Linked DNA regions of Lytechinus pictus. The protein of the gene in region 2 interacts with the protein of the main gene of each other region in a pairwise test. Links are inferred from orthologs where the notes say so. Each region holds a gene or a part of one and is shown on either strand. Other genes may lie near its edges.

What was found.
Region 1: the proteins of ubiquitin-conjugating enzyme E2 K-like (region 2) and RING finger protein 32-like interact in binary tests that used the Homo sapiens proteins (3 or more experiments, as listed by UniProt). The link is inferred for Lytechinus pictus from reciprocal best matches to the Homo sapiens genes UBE2K and RNF32.
Region 3: the proteins of ubiquitin-conjugating enzyme E2 K-like (region 2) and E3 ubiquitin-protein ligase TRAIP-like interact in binary tests that used the Homo sapiens proteins (3 or more experiments, as listed by UniProt). The link is inferred for Lytechinus pictus from reciprocal best matches to the Homo sapiens genes UBE2K and TRAIP.

The regions. Positions count from the first base shown.
Region 1 is NC_087247.1:20,142,132-20,146,696, reverse strand, and holds the start of RING finger protein 32-like, read left to right. Parts: upstream 1-1,332; 5' UTR 1,333-1,499; coding exon 1,500-1,562; intron 1,563-4,565. UniProt on the Homo sapiens protein: May play a role in sperm formation.
Region 2 is NC_087249.1:33,557,362-33,561,926, forward strand, and holds the start of ubiquitin-conjugating enzyme E2 K-like, read right to left. Parts: upstream 3,386-4,565; coding exon 3,041-3,385; intron 1,028-3,040; coding exon 875-1,027; intron 1-874. UniProt on the Homo sapiens protein: Accepts ubiquitin from the E1 complex and catalyzes its covalent attachment to other proteins. In vitro, in the presence or in the absence of BRCA1-BARD1 E3 ubiquitin-protein ligase complex, catalyzes the synthesis of 'Lys-48'-linked polyubiquitin chains.
Region 3 is NC_087258.1:25,779,140-25,783,704, forward strand, and holds the start of E3 ubiquitin-protein ligase TRAIP-like, read left to right. Parts: upstream 1-1,473; 5' UTR 1,474-1,579; intron 1,580-4,565. UniProt on the Homo sapiens protein: E3 ubiquitin ligase required to protect genome stability in response to replication stress.

The DNA.
Region 1 (4,565 bases), on a different chromosome or scaffold from region 2:
TCGCTGTTTCTTTGTAATTCTTTTTTTTTGCAGGTTATTTTCAGAAATATTTAATTAGAATAAAAGAACATCTATATTTTGTATAAGAATCAGCGTGTACAACAATGATATCAAAATTATTTCAAAAAGATTATTTATTTAATGGTTGCTTTGCAAACAAATAAGGAGGCGCCAACTATAATGTTGACAAACGCATTGTACATGTGACAACTGCGAATCAAATTGAAATAGTGGAATTAATGTTAAGTGTTGAAAGTATGAAGATGGTTGAAGTTTAATGAAAAAATGTACACAAGTTAATTAAATTATTTGCAATATGTTTAAAAGTTAATAAAAGTTTTTCAAATGTATAAATGTTTACATTAATTCACACTGTTTAAATGAATTGTCTGACAACACTGTTGTACATCTTGAGAAAGCATTATACATGTAGTTGAATTTTTTAAAATTGAAAACTCTGTTCTCTACGGCATTATGCCATTATGTATAGAAGTTTTACTCTAGCTGTTGACCTGTTATATGGCAGTTATTCAATTTCATGATTGCATTTTTTTTTTATTAAAGTATTTCTTTAACATGTTCAGTACATTGATTTTGAACCCTGTTTTGTGATTGCATTGTTAGTGCTTGTTGATTGACTCAGTGAGTGATGTAAGGTGAAAGGAAGAGAAATAATGGGTCAAAGTCATGCAGTGTAGGTAATAAGCGATCCAAACCAATGGACTTGGGGAGGGTGTCACTTCCATTGAACAGCATCTACATGCATTGCCCTGAAAAAAAGTGCACCCTAAACACAGATTTGTGCACGTATATGACTTAGATTTGCTCAAACAGGGATTTCATGTCAATGCCATCACACAGCCTTCAATAGCGTTTTAGCTAGTGATTTAGGATTTTAGGGGGCTCAGTCTTTTTTCATTTTTCTATTTTTGACACTTTATTCATGTTCTGCGCCTAACTGCGAAAAATGCTACTCTTTATTGCTTTTTTTTCTCAAGGATGCTGTACCACTCTAATCAATGGCAAAGACCCCCCCCCCCCCCCCCCGATGCAACAAAATATGAGGAAAACAAACTGAAAGTAAGATTAGAAGGACACACACACACACACACTACTATTCTGAGAGGAAATTGGTAAGTGTAAGACAAGAAATTTGAAGAATGAATATATAAGAAGGGTGAAAAAAAAGTGGGAAAGATTGATGAATTGAAATTTATAAATGTATGGATATTAGGAGAAAAATTGTGTAATGTAAGTGAATCGAAAAAAACATTCAAAGCAAGTTACTGGACCAAATTGCTTCTGCACAGCCTATATTGTAAAAGACGATAGAGGGAGCTCCGATTTGGAGCGAGTGGAATAATTGATCGCTAAACAACGGTAAACAACGAATTGAGACTCCTATTAAGTTCTAACTAGTGAAGATCGAGACCTGACTATTAAAGTTCTGTGTATTTTATTTTTAATGTGATTTACCCGTAGTTCAACCTTACATCAAGATGGGGTCTCAGCATTACAGTAATTCACGTTTTAATGGAAACAATCCATCAAGACTGCCAAAGGTGAGCTGAGTTGTGCAATGTAGCGCGAAGTTGGTCTTTTTACTTTAATTAATTTAAGTCCCACATGTAGCAAATTGTGCTGTGGTCTCTGTTAGTGGCACTGGTAGGCCAGGCAAGGCTAGTTTTAGTTTAGATCACTCCTAGTACCAATGAGGTCCAAACATTAACATGTATGGAGCTCATAGGCGACATCACTAGTATTTTGGGTTAGGAATCTTTGGGAAGATGATATTTCTATTTTATATTTCAAGTACGAGCTATAGGCCCTAGCCCTAGGCCCTATTCTTAATCTAACATGCAATTTTATTTCAAGCCAGGGTACATATCACCTATAGTATGGGTACATTACCGCCGCCGTCCACAGGATAACCACTTGCACGGCACTTGCAATGCCTTTCGGGCTATATATTTTAAATTAGCAATATATATGGATTTAAGATCAGATAAGCTTTGGATATGAAACTTACAAAACGATATGAAGCCAATTTCAATTCCTCTCTGTCTTTCTGGTACTTTATATCGATGATTTTTCTTGATGTCGAAGCAGGCATGGCCCCGATTCGCTGGTTCTTTCTATACGCACAGAGAGGGCGCGCGATATTATTTAATAAACTTGCTTGTTTACGTCGTTTACGTCAGATCAGCTGTACTGCTGGCTGCGTTCTAGGCGCTCCGCATTTTTTTCGCTGTTCAGCGTTATTTTATGATGTAGCGCCATCAGCGATTATGCGTGACATGCAACCTGTTGATTTTTGGTACAATTTCCTATTATGCGCCGGCGACTTGAATCTAGACTGTTCGATAGGAAAAATTCGCATTTCGATTGTTGTTTGCGTAATTTCCACTGCAGTATTAAGGATCAGACGGAGTAACTGGCTGAGATTTGGAGGTAAGCGTTTAAAATCCATTTTTATAGATAAGTTCGTGCTGATTTTTAAAATTAGATTACATTATAAGATTAAGATGACTAAATTTAGTATATTGTGAAGATTTAGGCGTGTTTCATATTCTCCCATTCGTGAGATGAATGAAAACGTCAAAATTCATTATGAAATGACATGCGTTGTGCGAGGTTAGTACATGTATACTAACCTCGCATGTTGTGTGAGTGGGTACATATAAGTTGTTATCAACAACAAAAGAAATTGAAAGAAATAAAGGGGAACTTACATTTTGACGACTTTTTGCTGATTTTCTTGGCAGTTGCTCTTCACTTCTGCCTCGCGATCGAAGCTGATATGCAGATCACGTGATATGCGTTCTCGTCAGCTGATCGGTTGGTTATTCTTTTCGCCAGACGTTGATAATTATATATTTTATAATTATAGCATTCATCGCAAATTTAGGTGAAAGAGATTGAAGTTACACAGCGCAAGCTTTAATTAAAAAAAAAACAATGTTTAATTGATTGCACAGGTTTCGCCTCGGACATGTAGGATCATTTGGTCCCAAATTGGCGTAACGCGTAACTACGGGGGGGGGGGGGGGTGTCCCTACCACTACACCCACTAGCCAGCAATTCTCTTTTTTTCTCTTTTTTTAAACCAAAATACTCCCCCCCCCCAAAAAAAAAGGAACCAGGGTTAAAGAGAAAGAGAATTATGATAGAGGAACACAAAATACTTTATTTTTTTTCCGCTTTTACTGTTTAACGCGACTTATAATCAAATATTAAATGGGGCTTAGAACAGTTTTTTTAAAGTCAATTAATAAATATTCCTCCTCGGGATTTGAGCTTTCATGAAATATCAATCTTTTTCACGATTACTGAAAATACTTAAAATGTCCAAAATTTTTATTGGTATATAAAGCTTTAGCTCATGCGTTGCGCCCGCCTTATTTTAATGTTGAGATACAATTTTATGCTTTGAATGAATTCCTAAAAACATTCAATTCTCAGATCTTGTCGTAATCGAATGATTCGATTGGTAAGCTAATACATGATTAATAAGTTTCATGATTGTTTAAAATGTGTCTCTCTATCAGTTTTGAATATTTAAAAAAATGTCAGCTCGTGCTTTGAGCTCGCAATATTTTGATTAGTAAGATTCTTCTCTTGTATATGCGAGTTTGATAGATAGAGAGATAACTAGAGAGAGAGGGGGGTCCCTCAGCGGAACAGAGACCAAAGCTTTTGGTCTACTTGCGACCTGGCTTAGCCTTGGGTCCAATTTCATTAGCCAAACAAACTGAGGTAGAGTAACATGCCCAAGATTCGACATATGTTAACAATAACAGTGAGTTACAATTTCTGCAATTTATTTTGTTGTAAAATTTCTTTTCACAAAGTGATGTTTGTTAGATATATTTGTCTATTTTTAATTTCAATATTCATTTTCAGATTCCATCTCAATAATTCATATAATCTTAAAATTTATTGCCATGTTTCACGGCCGAGATTCGACATCCCCTGCCCTTCGTTCGACATATCGCATCGCGCGTTCAAAAGTCAATGCGTGCGACAATCTTTTGTTATTTTAGGTGGGGGGGGGTACGTATGGAAGTCTTTCCAAAAAATGAAATAATAATAAGAGGTTTTTATGCTATCTCTTTCCCATTTTGGGGGAAATGGAATTATTTTCATTACTCCATCTTATCCCCCTTTTTTGCATGTTCACAATTTATTTGAAAACCGCATTTATAATCACAACAAAGTCAATTGAATTTAAGCTGATAAAAGTATTAAAAAGAGAGAGCGATATTTTTCCAATTTAAATTTGACAAAGTATAGAAAGCTCTGCAATGGAGGGGGAAAAATCCCCCCTCATGCCACCCCCCCCCCCAAGCGCACCCCCTCCAAAATAAAATCTTGGCTATGATGTTGATAAGAGCTTCTGTCTGGGATAAGATTGTGCAATCTCAAAGGATGTCTAACAATCTCTGCTATAGGCCTACTGTATGTAAGCGTGCCTCACTGCTGTATTTATTGCAGACCTGTGTGAATGCATCTGGAAAACACATCGTCCATCTAAAAGGATGCAAATGTTGGTATTATGTAAAGGA
Region 2 (4,565 bases):
CTCGTCGACCAAAAATTTAGCCTGATTATCCCTCCTACATGTAATCTACTGCTATTTAAAACTCAAGGTATGATAAAAATTAGCAACAAAAAAAACATGGTATGATATTGATTAATACATCTCTACTTGGCAGCCTTATAAAGATGCATGTATGTGTATGAAGTGAGATAATTTTCTTTACAAATGGCACTCATGGATTGCAATTAATTTCCATTTGTTCATGCGATAATTACATGTAGAGTGCAATACAATACCACAGAGCCCCCTACTACTATATTACAGTACTACAACAACTACTTCTACTACTACTACCACCACCAAGGGTAGAGATCTCTCCCCAAAGGTAGGGAGGACCAGGGGCTGGAAAATTTGACAAGCAAAAAAAATGGTTATCACCCCAAATGTAAGGTCATCTCTTCCAAACTACATGTTTTATTTTGATTTTGAATGATGTATTTCTTTCCATCATAAAAAAAACAAAAATAGTAGGGGGGACATTTGATATTGTGTCCCTCCTACTTTTTTTGGTAGGGAGAACGTGTTCCCCCTGTCCCCCCTGAGATTTCCGCCCATGACTACCACCACCACCACCACCACTACTACTACTACTACAGTACTACTATTACTACTACTACTACTAACTACTACTTCTACCACCACCACCACCATCATCACTACTACTACTAAGTCCTACATCTCCTTGTTTTTCAATCAATTGACACAGGGAAAATTGGTCTTGACTATTAACATTTATATAAATAAGAGCAAAATTTCTTCCCTAGAAGTATCTTGGCTAGATGGCACATTCGCACATGAACAAAAAATGAGATCCTTAAACTGAAAATGGATGGACTTTATGGTAATAAAGGCTTACACGAGGTGGATTGAAGGGGTACGTCTCTGGGACTTCGATGTGTAACTTGAATTTACCACCCTGGTACGGTGTGTCTGGTGGTCCTATGATCTCCCCTTGGAGTTTGGAGTAATCATTGATTGGAAATTCAATCTTGATCTGGTTCTTAATAGCCTGCAAAGAAAGGAAAATGATACGAAAAACTAAAATAGATAAATAAAGTAACAATGATATTACTGAACAAAAAGTTTGGCTCCTTAAATAAAAAAAGTAATGACCATGGAGCACATTCTGGGGAGTGTTTCATGAAAGGATTTGTCAGACATTTTTTTCTGATAAGTCTGCTTTATTCCAGTTACCCTAGTAACAGTGCTTCTAAGCCAATCAATAGGCTTATCTAGGAAAGTCTCAGATTTGACAACTTGGCAGACAATAAATGTTGATAAAAATCTCCCCCAAAAGTCCGGTTCAACTTCCATTACTTACAAGTAAGTCATAACTTGTGTGTGATCTACATGTATGTCCATTCCAGAAAAATCAGTAAGATACATGTAGGCTACTGAAGAAATATTACACCTCCTGCAGGATGGATAAGATACACACTCTTACCTGCACATCCGCATTGGACAGCTCTATAGTTAATGGTCTGTAATTAAGTAAATCTGAATGAATCTTTTACACTGGAGGCAGATTAATAAGAAGAGGAAATCTATAGGCTTAGCATATATGCAATAATTGTCAAAATTTGTCCTTTGTGATCTATTGTACATTATTTCTAAACAATTTATGAAATATTTCTTGCAAAATTCTTCAAATTGCCTTCTTTTCTGGATTAACAAGCAGTATACTTCCTGACAAGAGATAGCCTATGGGCATGGCCCCCTAGGAGCATCTCAAATGACCTTAAATATTGGGGCATTTAATCAATATTTATATCCGACATGTTTGCTTGCATAATAAGCATTAAAATAAATCCTGTATAGTGATTGGTTCAAATACAATGTACATGTAGTATCATGTAACCAAATATATTCTAACTATGATGATTTGTGACGTTAGACCTCAATATAATTTTCGATATACCAATATTCTGATGTCATTATTTGAGAAAACTACATGCAGATACCGGTATTTACATGTAGCTAATCTCTCTGGTACGCCGGTCAGCAAGCTGCCTCTCCCGTGATGTGTCAGCGCTATCAGCATTCCATTGAGCATGGTAGCTTTGGGAAAGTACATGTAGGTCATTCAATGCAAGTTAACGGACTCTGCAAACTCAGTGCACCGATTTTGGTTCTAATTCATTAAAAGTAGGAAATACGACAAATATAACAGGCATTTCCTTTGAAAGCATTCTTGGTTTGACTGGCAATATAACTATTCTGCACTCAGGTCTTCACCCCAAGGGAAAAATAGTAATCGCCAGACCAACCTTGGATAAATAACTCCCACTATTTCACAAAGCCCGATATATGTAGGCTATACTGTTACCATGGTAACTGTCCAACAAGTCTTTTCATGAAATACTCCCCTGACACTTAGAGACAGTCTCTAGTTTTAGGAGACATGCATCCATCATTCCATCTAATATATAACTTAAAGATATAACCTTGTCCTGTAATACTACGGTGCACAAGTTTAAACTAGGCTTGACAATTGATCTTCTTTGCTTATTCTTCATCTCGTGAGTCAATAATAAACATTTTGCCAAAACACTTTCTTGTACAGTGTAATCATCATATACATGTATCTTAGCCAGCTTAAATCCTACTTTTTAATGAAACTGATTATAAAACTTCAGTTACCCGTTCCTGTACTTTCCACCAATACTAGATCTACAATGTAGGCGTATAGAGAGCCTCACAGAAATAAACCCCAAAATGACAGATTTTGATTTTGACCACACTGGTGAACAAGAAAGTCAGACAAGGGTAAGAGCTAATAAATATGTTTATATTAATTCAATATTTTTTAATGTATATCCTAGCAGTACCAACAAGTACTGGATTACAAATAGACACATGATATCTGGATGTTCGAGACTGTTGGGAATGTGTGGTAGATGGAATTCCACCCTTCTAAGTGCCAAACGTTGACAGTCACTAACAAGAGGAAACAGATTCTTGGCCGGTATGGCATCACCTAGAGTTTGTGAGTTCTGCCAGGTATCTTGGTATCCACATTTACCACAAACTCAACTTCAACAGTCATGTGGATACTGTCAAGAAAGCGAATTCTGTCACCGCCATCCGATGACGGAAATTTAAGCACTGTAGGCACAAGATCAAGGCTACATACTTCACATATGAATGCCCAATGGTGGAATATGCTGCAACAGCATGGGACCGAGACACACAGTGGAATGTAAACAAGCTTGAAATGGTACAACGAAGGCATGCACGCTACGTCACAGGTGACTTCAACCAAACATCCAGCGTAACGACTAACGACCGAAAACCTGAACTGGCCATTGTTACTCACCAGATGTCTTGACAGTGGCTTGCTTTGCTGTAACGTATCTGCTTCAATCATGTTCACATTACCTGGCAGTCCTTCTTCAGTGAGCTGTCAAAAGCAACTAGGGGACACTGATCTCGATTTTGGACACCCCACTGCAGCAGTCAGACCTATGATTCTTCCATCTTCCCAATCCCTAGTTAACCTGTAACTTAGGACTGGAACAATCTCCCACAGGATCCAATCCATTACCCTCTGTTGATGCCTTCAAGGCCTTCTTGATTGGGGTGCAGAAGTAAACACCACAAAGGATGCTTTTACTTACTATATACGCACCTGCACTACAAGAACAAGACCTTTTAATAAGAATGTGAAAAGTTCCACACATACATGTACATACACAACCAGTGCATTTATCTTCATCACCTAGGCAGCACTTACTCTGGAAGAAGAAGATCCCTAATTGTTTGTTGTGCATAAGGCAAGATGTTAATATGCTAGGGCAACCTTTATAGATTTCTCATCAGCATTTAATACTAAAGAACCCCATATACTCCTGGAAAAAGTAGAAAAATCTAAATGGTCAGCCATCTCTTATACTGTGGCTTCATGATTTTCTCCATGAAAGGACACAGAAGGTTAGGGTTAACGGCATTCTCTCTGATGAAATAACGACAACCATTGGTACTCCACAAGGGTGTGTTCTCTCTGCGACCCTTTTCACCCTATACACCAATGACTGTATATCATATAACCCATCTACTCACAAACTTAAATATGCAGATGATACGGTGATAGTCGGATTAATTGAAAATGAAAATGAATTGGATTATATGGATACTATCCATACGTTCGAAAATTGGTGTGAAGCAAACTGTTTACTCGTTAACTCCAAGAAGACAAAAGAAATTGTCTTCGACTTCAGGCAAAAGAAATCCTTTGAACCCACTGATAGACCAGTACATATAAATGGTGATATTATTGACAATGTTGAAGTTTATAGATATTTAGGAACGGGAATCGACAGCAAACTGTCGTGGGATGCAAAGTCAAAATGCACTTTGACCAAATGCAACCAACGGTTATATTTCCTCAGAAAGTTAAAGTACTTCCATGTAAATGATAGGATCCTGTATCTATTTTACCAGTCGATCATCCAGAGTATCATTACTTTTGATTCAATCATCTGGTTTAATAACGCAAAACAGAGAGATAAAATAAAGCTTAGAAGACTTGTTAAGCAAGCCAGCAAAAT
Region 3 (4,565 bases), on a different chromosome or scaffold from region 2:
GGCATTTTGAAGTTTCGCTTATTTTTCACAAAACAGTGATGTGCACAACTCAGTGACATGCAAATGGGTCAGTCGATGATGTCCATCACTCACTATTTCTTTTGTTTTGTATTGTTTGAATTATACAATATTTCATATTTTACGTATTTGATGAGGACCACCTTGACTGAACTATATAGTATTAAACAATGCTAATTCCATATGTTCAGGGAGGAATTAATTGTTGTTTCCCTTGACGATGAAGAGAACATTAGAATATTTCATATTTCATAAAATGAAATACAAAAGAAATAGTGAGTGGATGATGTCATCAGTCTCCTCATTTGCATACCGACCAGGATGTGCATATAACTGTTTTGTGAAATTAAGCAAAAATTAAAAATGTCGTAACTTTCTTATTTTGCATCCGATTTTGATGAAATTTTCAGTGTTATGCTTGTTTAATTTTTCTCTTTTTATTCAAATTAACTTTTTGTTGGGGTGGACTTGTCCTTTAAAATGGGGCAATCACTTTAAGTAGCCATGAAAAAGAAGCATATGTCACTACATAAAACGATAATAATTCGAAGTGCGAGGAAATATATTTGGTGTATATTGACTTGAAAACGGGAGGTTTTATAGTAAAACAGGATTATATATCTTGTAAAACAGACAATGCGAGCACCAGGAACAATGAAGACATAGGCCCTACGCAAATTTTGTTTCATAAAGTTATGATATTTGAATGTAATATAACATAACATAATTATAATATAATTTAACATTATAATTAACAATAATTTCTTCTTACCCCACTACTTTTCTATCCCTTTCTCCCTCTTTTTCTTTTTTACCCGTTTTTTTTTTTGGGGGGGCCAGCCGATTCGGGGGGGGGGGGGGGGGGGGGGCACGTGCCCCCATGCCCCCCCCGTAGTTACGCCACTGATTGTTTAGAAAGAACAATAAAAAAACCCAAAAGAAATGGTCCCAGTTAGTGATCATTGACTCTCTCATTTACATATCACTTGTTAATTATAACTTTTTTTTGGTGAAAAATAAGATAAATTTTAAGAGAAATTTGTTTGATTTTTCTCCATTGATTAAAATCAACATTTTTTTATGGAGTGGACTTGATCGACCTTTAAGGGCCTTAAGGGTTCTTGGTTAATACTTACACACTTATAGTTTCGTAATCTGTCATGAATTTGAAATAGACCTATAATATTTAATCTTAATTATCCCCTAATAATTTGAAACTTGGTTTTGCCCATCAATCGTCATCCCGGGGGCATCGACCCAATATGTGGTAAATATCAGTGGCGCCTCCCTCCCACCCCAAGTTGAACACCAACTTGGCTCCCTTACAGAGGTTAAGATCAAATTGGCGACCCTATGCTGCTATGTTTATCCAATATTCCCCCCCCCCTTTCTATATATTTTTATCGACCCCCCCTCTCTCTGATGCGATGACGTTTGAAATTTTGCCATTTTATTTTTTACGTAAGTAATCAACGCCCTCTACGGTCATTATTTGCCCACCAAATTTGAGTCTTGTTTGATCGGCGGCGAAATATTAGGCAAAAATTAGACGAAAGAACCGGTAAGTATAGGTCTAGGATCAAGTTATTTTGTTTTAGAGGATAAAAATTGCAATGAACACATATAATAAGACAAGGACAAGGCCATATAAAGATGCAACAGACAGGGATGACAGACGAGCAAGTTGAGTTCGAGCCCGTCGCGGGCGGCTCGGGCTCGGGTCGCCGCGGCCGCGGCAGCTCAGGCGGTGCTAAGTCAAATAATATCGCGCGTTCGATCGAGGCGCCAATCATTTCTGTTTTTCGAATCAAAACTGGCTTTGTTTTGTTTTCTTTTGTTTTTCGATGGACTAAGTCAGGGAACCTTTCATGCCTTTTGCGATCATAATCATAAATACTGAGACAATACATGATCGAGAACTAGTAGAGTTTAGAAGATCTTATTCGGCGCTAGTGTAGTTTCGCACCTCCCCGTTTAATGGTTTTCAAACATGTACAATCTCACCCTAAATAATTCACAACCTAAAATACTTGCATCTGAGCCTCCAAAGTCCAGTAGAAGTTGAATATTTGCCGTTTTGACACTTTTTTTTACAAAGTTTTACACCTATTTTGGAATCACTCGGTCGCTTGAAGCTCAGCGCTGCACATAAGCAGTCGGTACGCGTACAGTACGTACCACCTAGTGAAGTGCAAGAAGAGCGAGTTTTTCTATGGTATCTTCAAAAAGATTTTTTCCCCTCTTTCAGCTTGCACCAAGTATTACGGTAGTGGTTGTGCAGAGTGGTTGATGTTTTTTGTGTGAAGGTGTGTGTGGGGTGTGCGTGTGTGTGATTGTTTGAATGAAATAAGAAATGTGAAAAGTGTGAATACACGTACTAGATTTAGCGATGAAATAAGAATGTACATAGTGCTGTAGCCGAACCGCCGAACCGAACGGTAGTTCGCCGAACATGGCACTTCCGAACCGAACAGAACCGAACCGAACACTAAGACTTGGTTCGGAAGTTCGGCAAAAAAAAAAAAAAAAACGGCTTTCAGCTTATAAATTTATAAGTTTACACCCTTTCTAATCATCATATTTGCGCATTCTCTATTTAATCTTCTTTGCAATTGTATGTTGGAAGTATGCGCTTATTTTGCGGTTACTAGATTTTGTTTTCATTTTCATGTTGACATTGTGGTTTTTACGGCCCTGATTAAGAAAGGAGATCCGATGAACGATGTTGCGCGAGCTTGCGCTATTATCATTTTACTGGCTTTCATCATCTCTCGCTCTGTGGCCGAATCGCCGAAGCATGGTAAAGAAAACCAAAACTGTATGAGTGTTCATTGGTTAAATCTAATTATCTAAAATATTGTTGTTTTTAGGTGGCGAACAAGATTCTTGTTTGAAAATCTTCAAAGTATTTTGAATGAACGAGCTCAATAAACTGAAAGTGAAAGATGAAGTACCATTAATATTACGAATTACGATACGATGTGATTAAGATCGTAACTCGTGTATTGTTGCGGCGGAGAATAAAGATCTGATTGAGGTGATTGACATTATTATTGAGGTGTCGGCTCGCTACTGTCTAGTTTTCATGATTTTAGAGAGAAGTAAAGAGTTTTGAAAACGGGAGATCCAGTGAAAGTGGGAAATAAAGTGAGTGACTGTTAGAGATGGAAAGGAGAGACGCAAAACAAATAATATAGAAATGAGATGAGGTGAAGTTATCTTTTTTATTATTAACAATCAGATGAAAATAAAAATCAAACACTCATGAATGATTACGGTATAGCATATAGCAAGATCCCCTTCCCCTCGTTGACAAGTTGAATGTAGATAAAGCCATGCGGAAACATTCATCTCTTGGGGGAAAATGACCCCCAATCTTTACTTTTTTTTCCTTTCTTATCAACTTCTCAAATTAACCATAAACAATGCGATGATCACTCTACTCCCCCTGTCCCATTGCAGTCGTAAAACTTTGCATCCCACTTGGTCTGTATGTTCATGGTCGAATGAAATCTGACCAATGAAATCATAGAAATCTCGGGAATTGCTCTTCAATCAGTGAGCTGAGTTTCGCGAGCAGACAAAGCACGTGGCTGTATGTACCGATGCGACAATCAGCGACATGCGATTGGTGGTTTAGTTCACCCATCGAGCCAATTAGCGAAAGGCGCATTACATAAGCACGCTTTCTTCGACACGCCCCTGGCCCTACTATGTCTACAGTTCAGTGCACTGGCGCTGGCCGCCTCGTATGTGATGCAATTGCCAATCACGTTTGGCCGGACTGTATAAATATTCATGAGCTCAGAGTGCCGCTACAAGGCCAAGGGGACTGAGCTGCATGCGCTGGCCTAGCCTAGCGCTAGCTGGTACGAGTGCGAGCGTTTGGCAAGTATCCAAAGTGTGGTCCAGGTATGGACGACTAGGAAGAGTCGCCATTTTAGAACTGTGAGATACCCAATAAATCTGTCATCAGATAATCAAATTCGTTGAGCGCTATAACTTTCATAGTTTCATGTCAACAAGATAGAGATAAAATGGTTTGATGTGACAGAGGTACACGCGAGCACATGCAGTCAATCAAGTACAAATTGTCTACCGGTACGCTACGTATACCTGAGCTGAATGAACTATAGCTTTATCAGCCTATCATTACCGAACCCCGAACCGAACCAATGTTCGGCAAATTTCTGCCGAACCTTGCCGAACCGAACCGAACCCGAACATGGCGCCTGACTTGCAGCACTAAATGTACAGCCTTCTTTTGAACTCTGAGAGTAATGACATACACGTAATATGATAACCTCCCTGCATGTAGTGAGTGTATGCGCATGCAAACAAAAGGATGAAATGTTCATTGCATGTCCCAGGTGGTATGGATGGAGATGGTACGGCGTGTGAAAAATTGAAAAATGTAATCTACTAGCATGAAATCAACATAGCATACAATCAACATAGCATACAGTTGTAAACTGAAGGAAAGTTCTCTGACCTAGAGTTCAAAACAAGGCACTACATTATTATTTCTTATTTCATCGCTAAATCTA